Rhinolophus ferrumequinum: one gene and its partner. The protein of the gene in region 1 interacts with the protein of each later gene in a pairwise test. Links are inferred from orthologs where the notes say so. Each region holds a gene or a part of one and is shown in the gene's direction. Other genes may lie near its edges. The genes, in order: SERGEF and DPH3.

The links.
Region 2: the proteins of SERGEF (region 1) and DPH3 interact in binary tests that used the Homo sapiens proteins (3 or more experiments, as listed by UniProt). The link is inferred for Rhinolophus ferrumequinum from reciprocal best matches to the Homo sapiens genes SERGEF and DPH3.

What each region holds. Positions count from the first base shown.
Region 1 is NC_046294.1:35,806,822-35,813,901, forward strand, and holds the start of SERGEF (secretion-regulating guanine nucleotide exchange factor), read left to right. Parts: upstream 1-2,163; 5' UTR 2,164-2,247; coding exon 2,248-2,307; exon of another isoform or gene 2,308-2,410; intron 2,411-4,647; exon of another isoform or gene 4,648-4,831; intron 4,832-6,413; coding exon 6,414-6,549; intron 6,550-7,080. UniProt on the Homo sapiens protein: Probable guanine nucleotide exchange factor (GEF), which may be involved in the secretion process.
Region 2 is NC_046300.1:30,641,902-30,648,981, forward strand, and holds the start of DPH3 (diphthamide biosynthesis protein 3), read left to right. Parts: upstream 1-2,661; 5' UTR 2,662-2,809; coding exon 2,810-2,917; intron 2,918-3,475; coding exon 3,476-3,550; intron 3,551-6,956; coding exon 6,957-7,022; 3' UTR 7,023-7,080.

The sequences.
Region 1 (7,080 bases):
TCCCCCTGGCCAAATTGCTCTTGCGTACTCAGACTTTCTTTGTTATGAAAAACGGGGTATGAAAGACCTCTCCAAAGCATCAGTCTTTCTTGTTCAACTATTAGAGCAGTGATCTAACTAAAAGTTATTGGATATCTCAACACGAATTGGACGGCAGCTTGACTGGAGGGATACATATGAAGCTCTCTAAGTAGCCCAGCTGAAGCATGCCTTTCCTTAGACATGAGATAGGCGGGACTCACAGCATATTGACAACTATTGCCACATACTATTTCCCCCCAAAAATAAGACCTAGCCGGACCATCAGCTCTAATGCGTCTTTTGGAACAAAAATTAATATAAGGCCCGGTATTATTTTACTATAAAACCAGGTCTATAATATAATATAATATATATAATATAATACAATATAATACCGGGTCTTATATTAATTTTTTGCTCCAAAAGACGCATTAGAGCTGATGGTCTGGCTAGGTCTTATTTTCGGGGAAACACGGTATCCTATCAGAATTCTCTCTCAGTCTCTCCAATCTTTTTCATACACTGGCAATCATACCCTGGTTTCTAGACACCTTCACAAGTTATTTTTGGTGGTCTTGTACCTCATTTTATTAATATAATGTGGGTGTATTGGCACTTAATGTCTTGGGGTCTTAGCCCAAACAGATAGGGTGCTATTTTTATGTCCTATTACATATGCATCAGCAAGCATGGTATAATTTTCGCACATCAAAGTCTCCCGGAACGAAGAGCTGCTTTGCCTCTCTAAAGTTTGTATTGTTCTTAGTTAGCCTGGCCATTGATGTTCTCAAGATGCCATAGGCTGGAGAGGTAAAGGTGAGGTGCTGCCCTCAAGTGGTCTTACAAGCAAAAACAATGAGGAGTGGGTGGAGAGAAAGAACAGGAAAGGGCTGAGCTCACCCCAGACACTCTCCAGGGCTCTGAGGCATAAAGGGTGAGGAGTTTTGGAGGCTTGTGTCAACAGAGGGGTCAAGAACTAGTGAATATGGATTATCATCTTTAATGCGGCCCCATTTGTAGCCATAATAAAATGTGTGGCTTGGAAAATGTGGGTTATGTACAAAAAAGAAAATAAAAATCACCTGTAATATACCAATTTTCCATTCAAACGTGCACACACACACACACACACAGATACACACCTGTGGAAAATTGGTATAATACTTTAACAACATATCATGAATATTTCCTTTATTTAATATCTTCCAAAACATTTTTAAATGGCAGCCTAGTTTATTCCATTGCATGGCTATGTCATAATTAAATCAATTTATTTTTGGATTTTCAGGTAGTGAAGTTCTTTCCGATTATATGTAACCCCATAATGAATAACTTGCAGTTTAAGTTTTTGTGAACAGCTCTGATTTTGCTCTTGTGATAAATTAACAGAAGTGCAATTACTGGGTAAATATCTATTTATCTATTTTTATGTTCCCAATAGGCATTGCCACATTTTCCTTCAGGAAAATTGTACTTATTTAGCTTCCACCAAAAGTATATGGGTGTTTCTGATAAAGGCCATTGTATATGAAAATTTTTGTTCGGTGAAAATTATCTGGTATTGATGATCAGAACCAGGGCAGGTCCAGGCTCGGAGCTCTGAGTTAGAAGGCTGCCCTGGCAGGAATCCCCAAGAACAAGCCTCCTCAGTTCAATGTCCCGAGGTGTAAGTTCTCGTTGGTGCCAGGCGCTGAAGGAGACACCAACCATGTAAGACACTGTACTCGCCTACCAAAAAGCTCCCTCAGATTTTGCAAACGCACACCAAAGCAAGCCCAGCACACCAAAGCAGGCCCAGCGACAGCGTGGCCTAAGACCCTGGGGCAGAACCCTTCCCACCCCTTCCCAGGCTTAATTTCTTCCCCATTAAATGGTGACACAATTCCTGCCCTGCTAGCCCCTCTGGGCTGTCGTGGGGCTCCAAAGAGATAAAAACGTGAAGGAGCGTGGTGCACTCGTATAGAATTATAAGGTGAGGGAGAGACACGGACCCTGCAGCACAGGAGGCCGGGGGCGGAGACGCTCAGAGCGCGCCGGGGCGGGGCCACACTGGTAGGCGGCTCAGGAGGCGGCACCTGGGCGCGGTCCTCCGGCCCCGCCCTCCGCACCGCCCCCTCGCAACCACAGGCCCCGCCCCTCGCCGCCCCACACCCCCAGGCCCCAAGTCCCTCCCCCGGCGGGCCCCTCCTCCGGCCCCTTCCGGAAGCGCTCGCGGAGTGTCTCCGCATGGAGCGCGAGCTGAGCGCCTCCGAGGCTACCCCTGCCGCGGTCGCGCTCTTCGCCTGGGTACGTGGCTCCGCCCCCGGGCCGGGGCCGCTGGGACTGAGGGTCGCACAGACGCCGGGAGCTCCGGGCCTCGGCGTGGGCTGTCCTGGGCTGCGCAGCTGAGGTCCGATCCCGGCTCCAGCTCTGGGTTGGAGGATCCTGGGCTGGGGTCTGAAGTGGAGAGGGCGGGGAGGGGAGGGTCTTCACGCGGTGACTTAGGGGGCCTGCTCGCTGGGGGGGTCCGGACCGGAGGGGTTGCGGCGCAGTGGGAAGGACCTGTCTCCAGGGCAGAGCGTCTGGTTCGGCGAGAGCTCCGGGAAAGACCGTGGAGGCCTCTGGAGAGAGAGGATCGCCCCGTCGGGCTAACTGTGCTCCCCACCCTCCCATTGCCTGGAGGATGGAGGCCTCTCTCCAGCCCTACCCCAGCCTGGCGGGAGCATTATTTGATGTGAGGCCTGCGGTGTTTGGCGGCGCACCCGGCGGAGACCCTGCATAGTTACTGATATTCCGCTGTGACCGGATCTTGCCTGTATGGAGGCGTGGGAGTCTGCGCTGGTGTTGGTTTGACGGGCACACTGAGAGACTAGAGGCATCTTTTTGTCTCTCGTGGTTGGGAGAGAGGAGGGTCTCTGCACCGGCGTGTGTGGCAGGCACCGACCAGATGCACGGGAACAACCAGACGCAGTGTCGTGTGGTTCTTCATAGCCCACATGCCAATTGTAATGAAATGTATAATTTGTTAATGTCAGGCTCCTTGGCTAGAATGTAAGCGTGGTAACGGTGGGTACCGTGCCTGTCTTGTTCACGGTGCCAGGGTCCTGCTTGTTGTAAGGTGCTCAGTAAGTATTTGTTGACGAATGAATGAATGAGGACCTGTTGTGTGAGAGCTAGTACGTGCTGGTCTTTTGAGAAAAGCACCAGAGTGAAAGACTTCCAACTCTAGTATTGGGTGGGGGGAAAGGGAGAGAAATACCTGTATTGCTGTTAAACCAGGATGTATTAACTAGTTGGAAAAAACAGTAAGTATCAGTACAGGGAGCGCTTGTGTGTAAGACTGCAGACTGGCAGGAGGGAGAACGTGGTGTGGCCCGAGGTAGTCTGAGTATCTTTGAGCTGGGGGTGGTGTTGGGGATTGAATGTTTGCCTGGCCTGGGTGCTGTCTCTAGCTTTTCCTAGGCCAGAGACTGGTCTGTGGGGACAGAGAAACATCTGACAGAAAAAGCCTTTCAGATAGGGCCTTGTCTGTACTGAAACAAAAAGGCTGTCGAATCTAACCCCTCTGCTGTGCTGGGAGGCCTGACGGTGTGTGTTCTTCCGGCTGCATTAATGTGTGTGGAGGGGTGTATTAGTTTGCTCTGCTGCCATAACAAACTACCAGAGACTGGGGGGATTGAACAATGGAAGTTTATTTTCTCACAGTTCTGGAGGTCAGCAGTCCAAGATCAAGGCGGCAGCAGGTTTAGTTTCTTCTGAGACCTCTGTCTTTGGTTTGCAGATGGCTGCCTTCTTTCTGTGTTCTCACGCAGCCTTTTCTCTGTGTGACAGCATCCCTGTGTTTCTTCTTATAAGGACACCAGTCACGTTGGATTAGGGCCACATCTTTATGACCTCATTTAACCTTAAGTACCTTTTCAAAGGTCCTATCTTCAAACACAGTCACATTCTGAGATAGAGTTTCAACAAATAAATTTTTGGGGAACACAATTCAGTCCATAACAAGGGGATTTACCTCCTTGGAGTTGTGTGTGTGTGTGTGTGTGTGTGTGTGTGTGTGTGTGTGTTTATGTGTGGTGTAAGGAAGGGAGGCAAATACAGCTTAATAAGTTGTACTGAAATTTCCTTTTGTTTTGCTTTATCATAGATTTAGGATCTCTTGCTGCATTATAAAAATTTGGTCCCATAACTTGAATTCCATAATGCTGGTATCTGACTTTCTGTTCAGCAACCTGTAGCCTTGGTAATGGGGCAGCCACGGAGAACTCAGGGTTGACAGAGAAATCCTGTGCATTGCCCTCCATGTCACAATGGAAGCTTTTCATTTAATCTTTCCTAGATGGGGACTCATAGGGTCTTACATTAATTCATTATAAAATATATGCAACTTTCTCTGGGCCAGCACAGTTTCAGATGCAGGGGAATAGCAGTGAGCAAAACAAAGTTCCTGCCTCATGGAGTTTACTTTTTAGGAGATGGACAGTAAACAAGTAAACTTGCAATGTCAGGGAGTGCTATGAAGAAAGATAAAGCAGAAAAACAGTGAGGAAGTGACAGTGTGCTATTTTAGGTAGGGTCATACAGTTAGCCTCCTGCTAGGTGAGCTCTGGGCTGCTTCACCATATGTCCTTTTTTCTTTATTTTTAGAGACACAGTATAGAATAATGAAAGGAGTGGGCATCCAACGTATTGCCTACCCAGCTATGTGACTATGGAAAGCTACTTAACCTGTCTGTTTCTTCATCTGTACAATGACAGTAACAGTGCCCACCTCCTCTGTTGTGAGACGTAAAGATGAATGCCCAGCACACGGAGAAACACTCAGTGATTGGTAATAAATATTGCCCCCTTGGACCTCTGGGACTTGTGTCCCTGCCATGGCTTGCTCTTCCAGCTTGGAGTCCTTGCAGCCCTGGACAGCTGTAGAATAGACCACAAGGGGCAGGGGCTTGTATTTTTTGTCGTTATTTTAAATCTCTTTTCCTCATTCAGGTGTTCTTAAAAAACGAACACATTTTAAAGGTTTTATTACTCATCTTTAGGAAGACCCAGCCAGAAATAGATACTTGGAGAAATTATAAGGATTTTTGAAATCATAATAAGATTCTCCTCACAGGTTCACAGTCCCTTATCTTCCATTTCCAATACAAAAAGCTCTGAACACCCCAAACTGACCTGACAGAAGGCTGTTTATAGTTTTTACCCACTTATTGTGAATATGTGTACCGTTTCCTGCAGAAATAATACTGCTTTGCTTATGGGGTGCTGCTCCCAGCCCTTGCAGCAGTGTATATGATTTATATACCGTATTACTTTTCTAAAGTCCATAAAATTCTGCATCTGAAATATATCTGGCTGCAAGGGATTAGGGATTATGGACCTTTATTGTATAATAACAGCAATAGACGTATTGCTCACCATGAGGAGATCTGTTCCCTTACAGGGATCTCATACTCTTAGAGTCACAAAACATAGTACTTGGAAAGGCCCTGAGAGATCGCTGCCAGCTTCTTTCACTTACAGATGAAATAACAATGATGTGCCCTGCTGGAGGGTTCAAAATTCTTTGTTACAGAAAAAGTCATTGCCAGTGTTTCCAGTGAGGGTGTGGGGAGAAGGGACAAGAAGTAGTCCCAGTGTATTTCCCACCCACTTTGTTCCCATTTCCCCTCATTATTTCTGTTCTTAGCCACCCCAGGTAATTAGCTTTTCTCAGAAGGAACTCCCATGCTGTCCCCAAAAGCAACATACGGGGGTTGGGTGGGGGCCTTGGAAGGGGAAGGGGAGGCGGATCGTTGGATAAGCTATGCACGCTAAGGGCTCCTTTCACGTGGAAACTGGTGCCCTAGGGGTGGGGCCACCGGCTAAGTGTGGGTCGCGTATAAGAATGAACCTATGAAATCGCATCTGTTCTAGGCTCTGAGATGTTGTCAGAGTGCGAACCATAAGGACAGGTAAATAATCATTGCCTGTGGGGGTTCTCATTCTTTTTTTTTTATTTTTTTTTATTTTATTTTTTAATTTATTGGGGTGACAATTGTTAGTAGAATTACATAGATTTCAGTTGTGCAATTCTGAATCACATCATCCATAAATCACACTGTGGTGTGTTCACCACCCAGAGTCAGCTCCCCTTCCATCACCGTACATTTGATCCCCCTCACCCTCATCCCCCACCCCCCAACCCCCTTACGCTCTGGTAACCACCAAATTACGTTCCCCAGATTAATTTTCAAACCCCGTGGCCATCCTGTGGTCACCGACTGCCCTCCAATCCCCTCACCCTCCCCCCCACCCCCCACTCCCCCCGCCCATCTAGCAACCCTCAGTTTTTCCTCATTGTCTCCCAAACAGTTTCTGATTAGTTCATTCACTTCTCATTCTTTTTCATCCTTGGCTTATTTTATCTCTAGGGTGCAAATAGCTATGGGCAACTTGGCCTTGGCCATAAGGAAGATATGCTTTTGCCTCAGCAAGTGAATGACTTCTGTAAACCTGGACGTGTCAGGAGGATCACAGGAGGAGGGGGCCACTCTGCTGTTGTCACAGGTAACTTCCTTCAAAAGTAGATAGCCCCTCACTTTCTTATTTAGACCTTCCCCCTTAGGGAGTCATATTGCCATCTTTTAGCCTTTTGCATTTTGCAGAGGAAAACAGTTTTAGGAAAGAGCCGAGGTACCATCAGAGAGTCCCAGACTGTCAGGCTGAAAGGACTTCAGAGATATTCTAGGCTCCCCCTAGATGTCCTTCTCCTCCCCCAACCCCATCCCTGTACACCAGTGAGGCTTGTAAGGCTTGCGGTGAGATAATGAGGCTAAGAGAGTCAGGCGGGTTGAGAAAGGTGAGTGCTTTATTCTGCGTCCCCGGGCGAGGTTCACTGGTCCGCAGACTGGCCGGTGAAGTCGCGCCCAGGGCAGAGCGAGGGAGGCATATATGCGATTTTTGGGGTGGGGGTTGGCTGAGTGAGGTGGCAGTTGGGCAGGACCCCCAGCGCAGGTCGGGCATGGGCAGCCACATCCGGAGTTGTTTATCGCACCAACGGTCTGCTGCCTTTTCGGGGAAATGCCAGGGGCCCCAGTT
Region 2 (7,080 bases), on another chromosome or scaffold:
GTTTAGTAATCACTGTAATGTTTGGGGGGGTTTTTTAAAATGCTGGGTGGAATAAAACAAGCACGTCACATGTTTGGCTACAGTTTTATTTTCTTCAGCACACTATGAACTCAAATTGGGCAGAACCACATAGGGAACCAGCTCAGGCAGACAGAGGGTATGGCTAACAGAGCGCAGGATGAAAACAGTATGGAAGGCCAAGAAGACCCCCAAACCTAGGTCTCAATGGAATCAGCACTGCTCTAGTGAAAATCTCAGCAGCCTGCAGAGCTCCAGGGCTACTGTTTCATCTAGCTCTGCTTCACACCCTCATATCACAGAGGGCATCAAAGGGATGACAAGTCTGGGTTCTAGGGTCAGACAGTTGTTGAGTTCTCACCATAACTTACTGCCACTTACCAGCTTTACCTCTTTAGGCAAGTCTCCTTAGCCCCCAAACCTCAAGGGCCCCAATGGTGAAGATGGGATTAATGATACCTATACCTCACTGGGCTGTTTTAATGACATAGTGCATGTAAACCATTTGGTACAGTGCCTGGCACATAGTGTCAATTATTATTCATTAATGCTTCATTACTTTTTCTTCTTCCATTTTAAGTAATACACAAAGTATTGGAAAAGTACAAAGAAATTATACAGAAAAATTACCCAACGACCCCTATAACTTTTAGGACTACTAACCTCAGATTTTAAGATTCCCCAATGAATTGTTTTGAGAGATCCAAATTGCTTTCTAAAAAGTCTACCAATTTATACTTCCATGAACCAAATACGACTGCACCCAGCACCCATTTCTGTACTTTCAGAAATGGCTGGCTCATCTTTAATTTGTAGGTACTAATTCCCAGAAGCACTGGAGAACTAAAGATGGTTCCCAACCTCAAAACGCTCACTGGGACTACAGAATAGACACTGGTGACTCTCCCCTGTCCTCCTGACCCCAAGAGGGTACCTGGGAAGTATCTGTGTCTACAGGGATATTAGGGAGTAGCCAAGGGGCAAAGTGGGCTTTACTAGAATTTCTCCTTTGCTTAAACAGAGCAGAATCATCCCAGTTAACGCTCCAAAGGTATAAAAATCTTCCCTAACCGCTGAGTAGATCTCCAATTATGCAAAATAGAGTGTTTGTGAGGCTTTTGAAATAATCCTCTACGAACTCCTTTAATGTAACTTCTAGATTTTCTCCCAAAGACCCCTCTGCCTCCAGCTTTTCAAGCCTCAAGAGAGCTAAACCAGGTGGAACTTCACTTTCAGTGGGCATAAAATTGGTAACTTCATGCAAACATTTGAGTGTGTGTACATAAATAAGCATAGGGATGTTTATATATGTGAATATAAACTAAATACGGCACATATGATTGCTGAACGACAGCATAGGATGTTAGATCTGAACGGGAACTTGTAAGTCAGCTCTAATCCAACCCATTTTAGTCAGAAAAATAAAGCCCAAAAATGTAAATATCCAGCTCCCAGAGCTAGTTCACAAGTCAGATTCTGAGCACAGATCTGCTTCTCAATAGCACTTTTTTCACTGCACTGCGTTCCTTCTCTACCACGATTTGAATTACTGCCTAGTAATGAAGCAAAACCCCCATGGAATCCGGTTATACCAAAATACACACTAGCACTGCTTCCAAGACAAAGCACCTTTTATTTGCATTTCGCTTCAAGGTATAAAGAAGCCTCGTGGTAATAATGCTGTGACTGCTGAGGCCATTACTTTTACAAAAAAGAAACTGTGGTTCACATAAATAATTTGTTCCCAGGCTTTGGGGACAGGCAGCCTCTTCATTTCCTAGGTGTATGATTTGGGTCAAGATTCCCAATTCTCTGTATCTTAGTTTGACGATAAATAATATGGAATAACATCTAAACTCCCAAGGTCGATGGAAGAATTATACTTAGCGCAATGCCTGGCACATAGCAAACTCCCTGTTAAAAGGTGATGTCATTACAAATCACTATAGTAAATAATGATATATGCTTGGCAAACACAGGACTAAAACTCAATCTGCCTCCCAGGTCTTGGTCCTTTCAGCAACACAACTTGGGGCATTTGAATATAATCTGGGCCGAGGAAGAGGCGTGGGGGTACCTGAAGAGCCGAGTGCAGCCAGGAACTACAAGCTACGCGTCGCCCTGAGCTCAAGGTCACCCGGTGAATTGAAATTCCAAGGGAGCTTTTCGTCGGTCACTGGGAAGTCACGGAGAAGATCACGAAGGCTGAGCTTCTCCAGCCAGTGCCGCCGAAGACCAAGCAAAGCTGCGGCTCTTTCCCCAGGGGCACCGAGTGCCAGGACTGTGCTACCTAGGCCTGCGGCGGTCTTCAGCGGGGCCTGGGTAAGGCCTCTCTAAGGTCCACGGACTAAAATCCACACGACAACAGCCGCAGGGAAACTCCTCCACGCCGCCATCACTACACCTATCGGGCAGCTCCGGGCCAAACTCCGCCTCGGGTGCCTGAAAGCTTCCGGTGTCCGGGGCGTGACAGGGCGGTCACGCGCGCGATCCTCATATTCTATTGGCCACTTCCGTCCAATGGGTGAAGCGGGGCGGGACACCACTGAGCCGCGAGCGCTGTCTTCCAGTGTCTCCGCCCCCTTACTCAGCCATCTCCATGGTGACCGTCACAGGTCACCCATTTGGCCTCGGAGCCCGCAGTTGCGTCATGTCTATGCGCCGGAAACGATAGTTCCGGCCCCGGGTGCGTGGTGGCAACCCCAGCTGGGGCCGGCATTCGCCAAGTTAGACCGACCCGGGTCGGTGTCGGGCGGCCGGGGTGACAAGCCCTCTGCTGGCCCCAGTGACGATGGCGGTGTTTCACGACGAGGTGGAGATCGAGGACTTCCAGTATGACGAGGACCTGGAGACGTATTTCTACCCCTGTCCGTGTGGGGATAACTTCTGCATCACCAGGGTAACTTCTGGATCCCACCAGGCGACTCATCGGAGCAGGCGCGCTTTTGCTCTACGATGTTGCTTCCGCCGATCAGTCGCCCATCCGGCTCATAGTTATTCACGCCCATTTTTATCCTGTTTGTGAATCTCCCCAAAGTTGATACTCTGAGCTGTCAGTGGGCCCATCATCTGGCCTTTAGTCGGGATGGGGAGGCGGGCAGGGAGGGAGTGGCTGGCTGGGAGCATCAGACTTCTCGCCATCCTCCCCGACTTGGCGTCCCACGTCGGGTCCCACTTCTTGGGATGCCTTTTTGGAGGAAGGAACGTGTTTTTGTCTTCCCAGAGGTTTTGAGGCGACTGAACCTTGACTAGCCTTCCTGGGTGTTTTCCCCAAGAGACGCTTCCATGGAGAATGCGGTCTCCAAGGACGTTTCTCTCGGAAGGCCCTTTTGGCCCTCACTTACCTTGCAGGGAGGCAGGCCACAAAGGAGCTTGCCCTTATGAGTGGGAAGGTTTGGGAGGAGGAGATTGCCAAGGGAAGACTTTGCTGATCATACGGTGTTTGGTTTTGTTATAGGAAGATTTGGAGAATGGGGAAGACGTGGCAACGTGTCCTAGCTGCTCTCTCATTATAAAAGTGATTTATGACAAAGTAAGGGGTCGAATTCTAAAAGGTGGGGGGGAGGGTTTCGATCCAAGAACCTAGAACAGTCTGTCTATAGGTAAGGCAAGGGGGGATGTTTTCTAACAGTGTGTTAGGTAAATACTATGTTTTTTATAGCAATTTTTAAAACCCATTAATAGCCGTATTGTAAATTAAAATTTTTAAAGTTCTAATTAACTCATTTTGGCTTTGACGGGGCAATAAAGGAAACTGCTCTGTATCTAATGAAAATTATTGCTTACTTACTAAATAAATATAAAAAAATAATTATACAGGTTAATTCATTGACGGTCTTTATTCCTCCTTTATTTAATCAGTAATTAAAATTGTTCAGAGTTCCTAGACTTTTTCAAGGGAACAATTGCATCATATTCTTTCCTGGTTTATACATAGAATACCTGCAATATATTGTTTGAGAAATAGTCGTAGTTGCAATTTTACAATTTCATTTTAGCCTTTAGTTGTCGTATTGTTTTTCACCCAGGGGTATTAACAATAGAAAACAAAATAAATGTTATCACTGCCCAGCCCCACCCCAACTTTAGGTTAGTACTTTGAATAAAGTCTTAAGTAAGAAGCTTAACATTCTTCTTTTTGAGACATAATTGACATAAAAGAAAGCTTAGCATCTTAAGGATGAGCTCTAAAATGAGTTTAGGGAAGGTGGGAACAAGGTAGTTAGCTTCATGAGAGAAGCAGACAATAATTTAGACTATAATTTAGAAGTTTACTGATTTATTCTTGTATTAAAGTGTGTTCTGGGAAAAAAAGAGAACAGGGTAAAGGAGATCAAGAGTGCTGGTATGAGAAGAGGTTGCAATTTTAAATAGGGTGATCATGGCTGGCCTTATTGAGCAAAGATAGAAAGAGGTGAGGGAGTGAATTCTGTATATACACAGGGTAAGAGCAGCCCGGCAAAGGGAACTTTCAGTGAAGAGGCCCTAAAGCAGTGCAAGGAGGCCACTGTGACCAGAGCAGAGTAAATGAGGGTGAGAATCATCCAAGATGAATTAGTGGAGTGGGGCAGATCACAGAGATGTTTGTGGGCCACTTTAAGGACTTCGGCTTTTCCTGTGAATGATATAGGGATCCATTGGAGGATTCTTGATCAAAGAAGTGCCATGATCCAACTCAAGTTTTAAAAGAGGGATTCTGGCTGCTGTGTTCAGAATAGACTATGAAGGAGCAAGGATAGAGGCAGGAAAACCAGGGAGGAGGCTGTTAGACTAATCAAAGGAGGGGATGAGTAGCTTGAACCAGGCTGCAGCAATGGAGGTATTGAGACGTGGTTGAATTCTGGATACACTTTAAAGGATAGGGTTTTTTTTATTGATTAGATATAGGATATGAGAGGAGTCAAGGATGATTTCAACATTTGTGGCCTTCATAACTGGAAGGATGGATTTACCATCATCTGAGGGGGAGGTGACTGCAGATAGTGGGGCAAGAGTGGACATACTATGTTTGAGAGGTCTATTTTTCATCCAAGTGGAGCTGGTGAGAAAGCAATTGGATATGTAAGCATAGCATTCAAAGAGTGTTCAGCTGGCACTGTAAATTTGGGAGTTGTCAGCATATAGGTAGTATTAGAGCCATGAGATCGGATGAGATCACCAGGACTATGCATGTAGTAGAGATGGACAAGAAAAAAGGACTGAACTTTGGGCCACTGCAACATTAAAAAATCAGGGAGGGAAGCTAAGAATCAGCAGAGCTGGCCAAAAAGGAGCAACCACTGAGGAAGGAGGAAAGCCACCGGTGTCATATCCTGGAAGCCAGATGAGGAAAGGTGGAGGAAGTGATCAGCCTTATTAGATGCCACTGATAAAAAGATAACAAAAAATTAACAGTTGGCTTTAACAGGGATGCCATTTGTGATGGTTATAGGAGCTGTGTCAGTGGAGTAAAGGAGACAGAGCCAGATGGGTGGAAAACCTGTTGGAGAGAATGAGAGAAAAATAGGAAGCAGCAAGTACAGACATTTCTTTCAAGGATTTTGCTGCAAAGGGGAGCAGAGACATGGGACAGTAACTGGTGATGATGGAGAGGGCTTACGGTGGTAGACATTCAGCTACATGGGTGAATGTAGACAAAGGAAGTTAGATTTAACCAGGGTTATGGTTTTGCCAAGTGAATAGGATGGAGTGAGAGATGAGCAATTACCATAATTGACCATGAATTTAAACTAGATAAAGAAAACATTAAGGGAGTGAGGGGGCAGTGAAAAGGTGGTAGGATGACTACACTGGATATCCCAGAGGAGTCGGAATGAGGGATCCAAGAGGGGAAGATGATAGCAACAGAGATGAATAGTGATGATATAGTCTCATGACAAGATTCAAAGTTGGTGGGTTTTAGAGAGGGAAGGAGAACAGTGGCAGAGAGGAGCAACCAGCCCCTCCGCCAGACTCTGTAGTACTGGGGCTCCGAGAGAACACAGAGCCTCATTTCAGGGATTACAGGGGAAACAGTGTCCTTGCAGGCTGGCCTCTTCTCCACCTCAGCGTTGTGGGCATTTTGGGCTGAATAACTTTGTTGTACAGAGCTCCCCTGTGCAGTGGAGGGTGTTAAGTAACATCCCTGGCCTCTACCCATTAGCCAGTGCACCCCCTTTTTCAATTAGGTCAACGCAAAATGTTTCCAGACATTTCCAGATGTCCCCTGGAGACAAAATCAACACCACACCACCACTACTACACCTTGAGAACCACTGTGTTAGAGCAGAAAGGACATTTAAAGAAGAGGTTGAGAATATGGAGCATTGTGCTGATGATGGACCATAAATTCCAAAGAGCACAGTGGTTCCAGGTGCTGGGCAGGAGTGACACAGCAACAGGGACAGAATACAGACTGATCCTATGGTGATCAGATTGCAGGAGATGAGGGTAACCTGGGAGGCAGAGATTTCTTGTAGCTGACATAAGCAGGATAAATAATCAGAAATTGGACTTCATTTCTAAAGTAGCTAACATTGCAGATTAACTAAAAGAGCTATCCTCGTTAGTTGAAGTAATTACTTTGAAGGGGACAGGTATTTGAATGACCAAATACTGAAGTGGAGAAGTTTTTGTGTAAGTAGTAATTAATACAGACGCTTAAAAGGTGTGGCAATGTCTTTATAAATGATTTCTGAGAAGTGGATGCTCTGTAGTAAAGATGAGCATGTTTGTTTATAAGATACGGTGCTTAATATTAAATATGAATTCAGGACTAAAAACTGATACACTTCTAAGTTTACAATTCTGGTGCTGACATTGACTCTTTGAACATGGATGAAGTGATAAAGCAATGAAAAAACTCACAGAGCTGGATTGATTCTGTAAAAAGATACAAGTTTAATATTGATGCATTTGTAACCCAGACACTCAATGATTAATATTTTGTTCTTTCTTAGGAGCAGTTTATGTGTGGAGAAACCATCCCAGCTCCTTCCACTAACAAAGAATTAGTTAAATGCTGAAAAAGACTCTAAATCCAAATCCTGAACAGTTGGGAATGAGCCAAGCTGGAAAAATCAA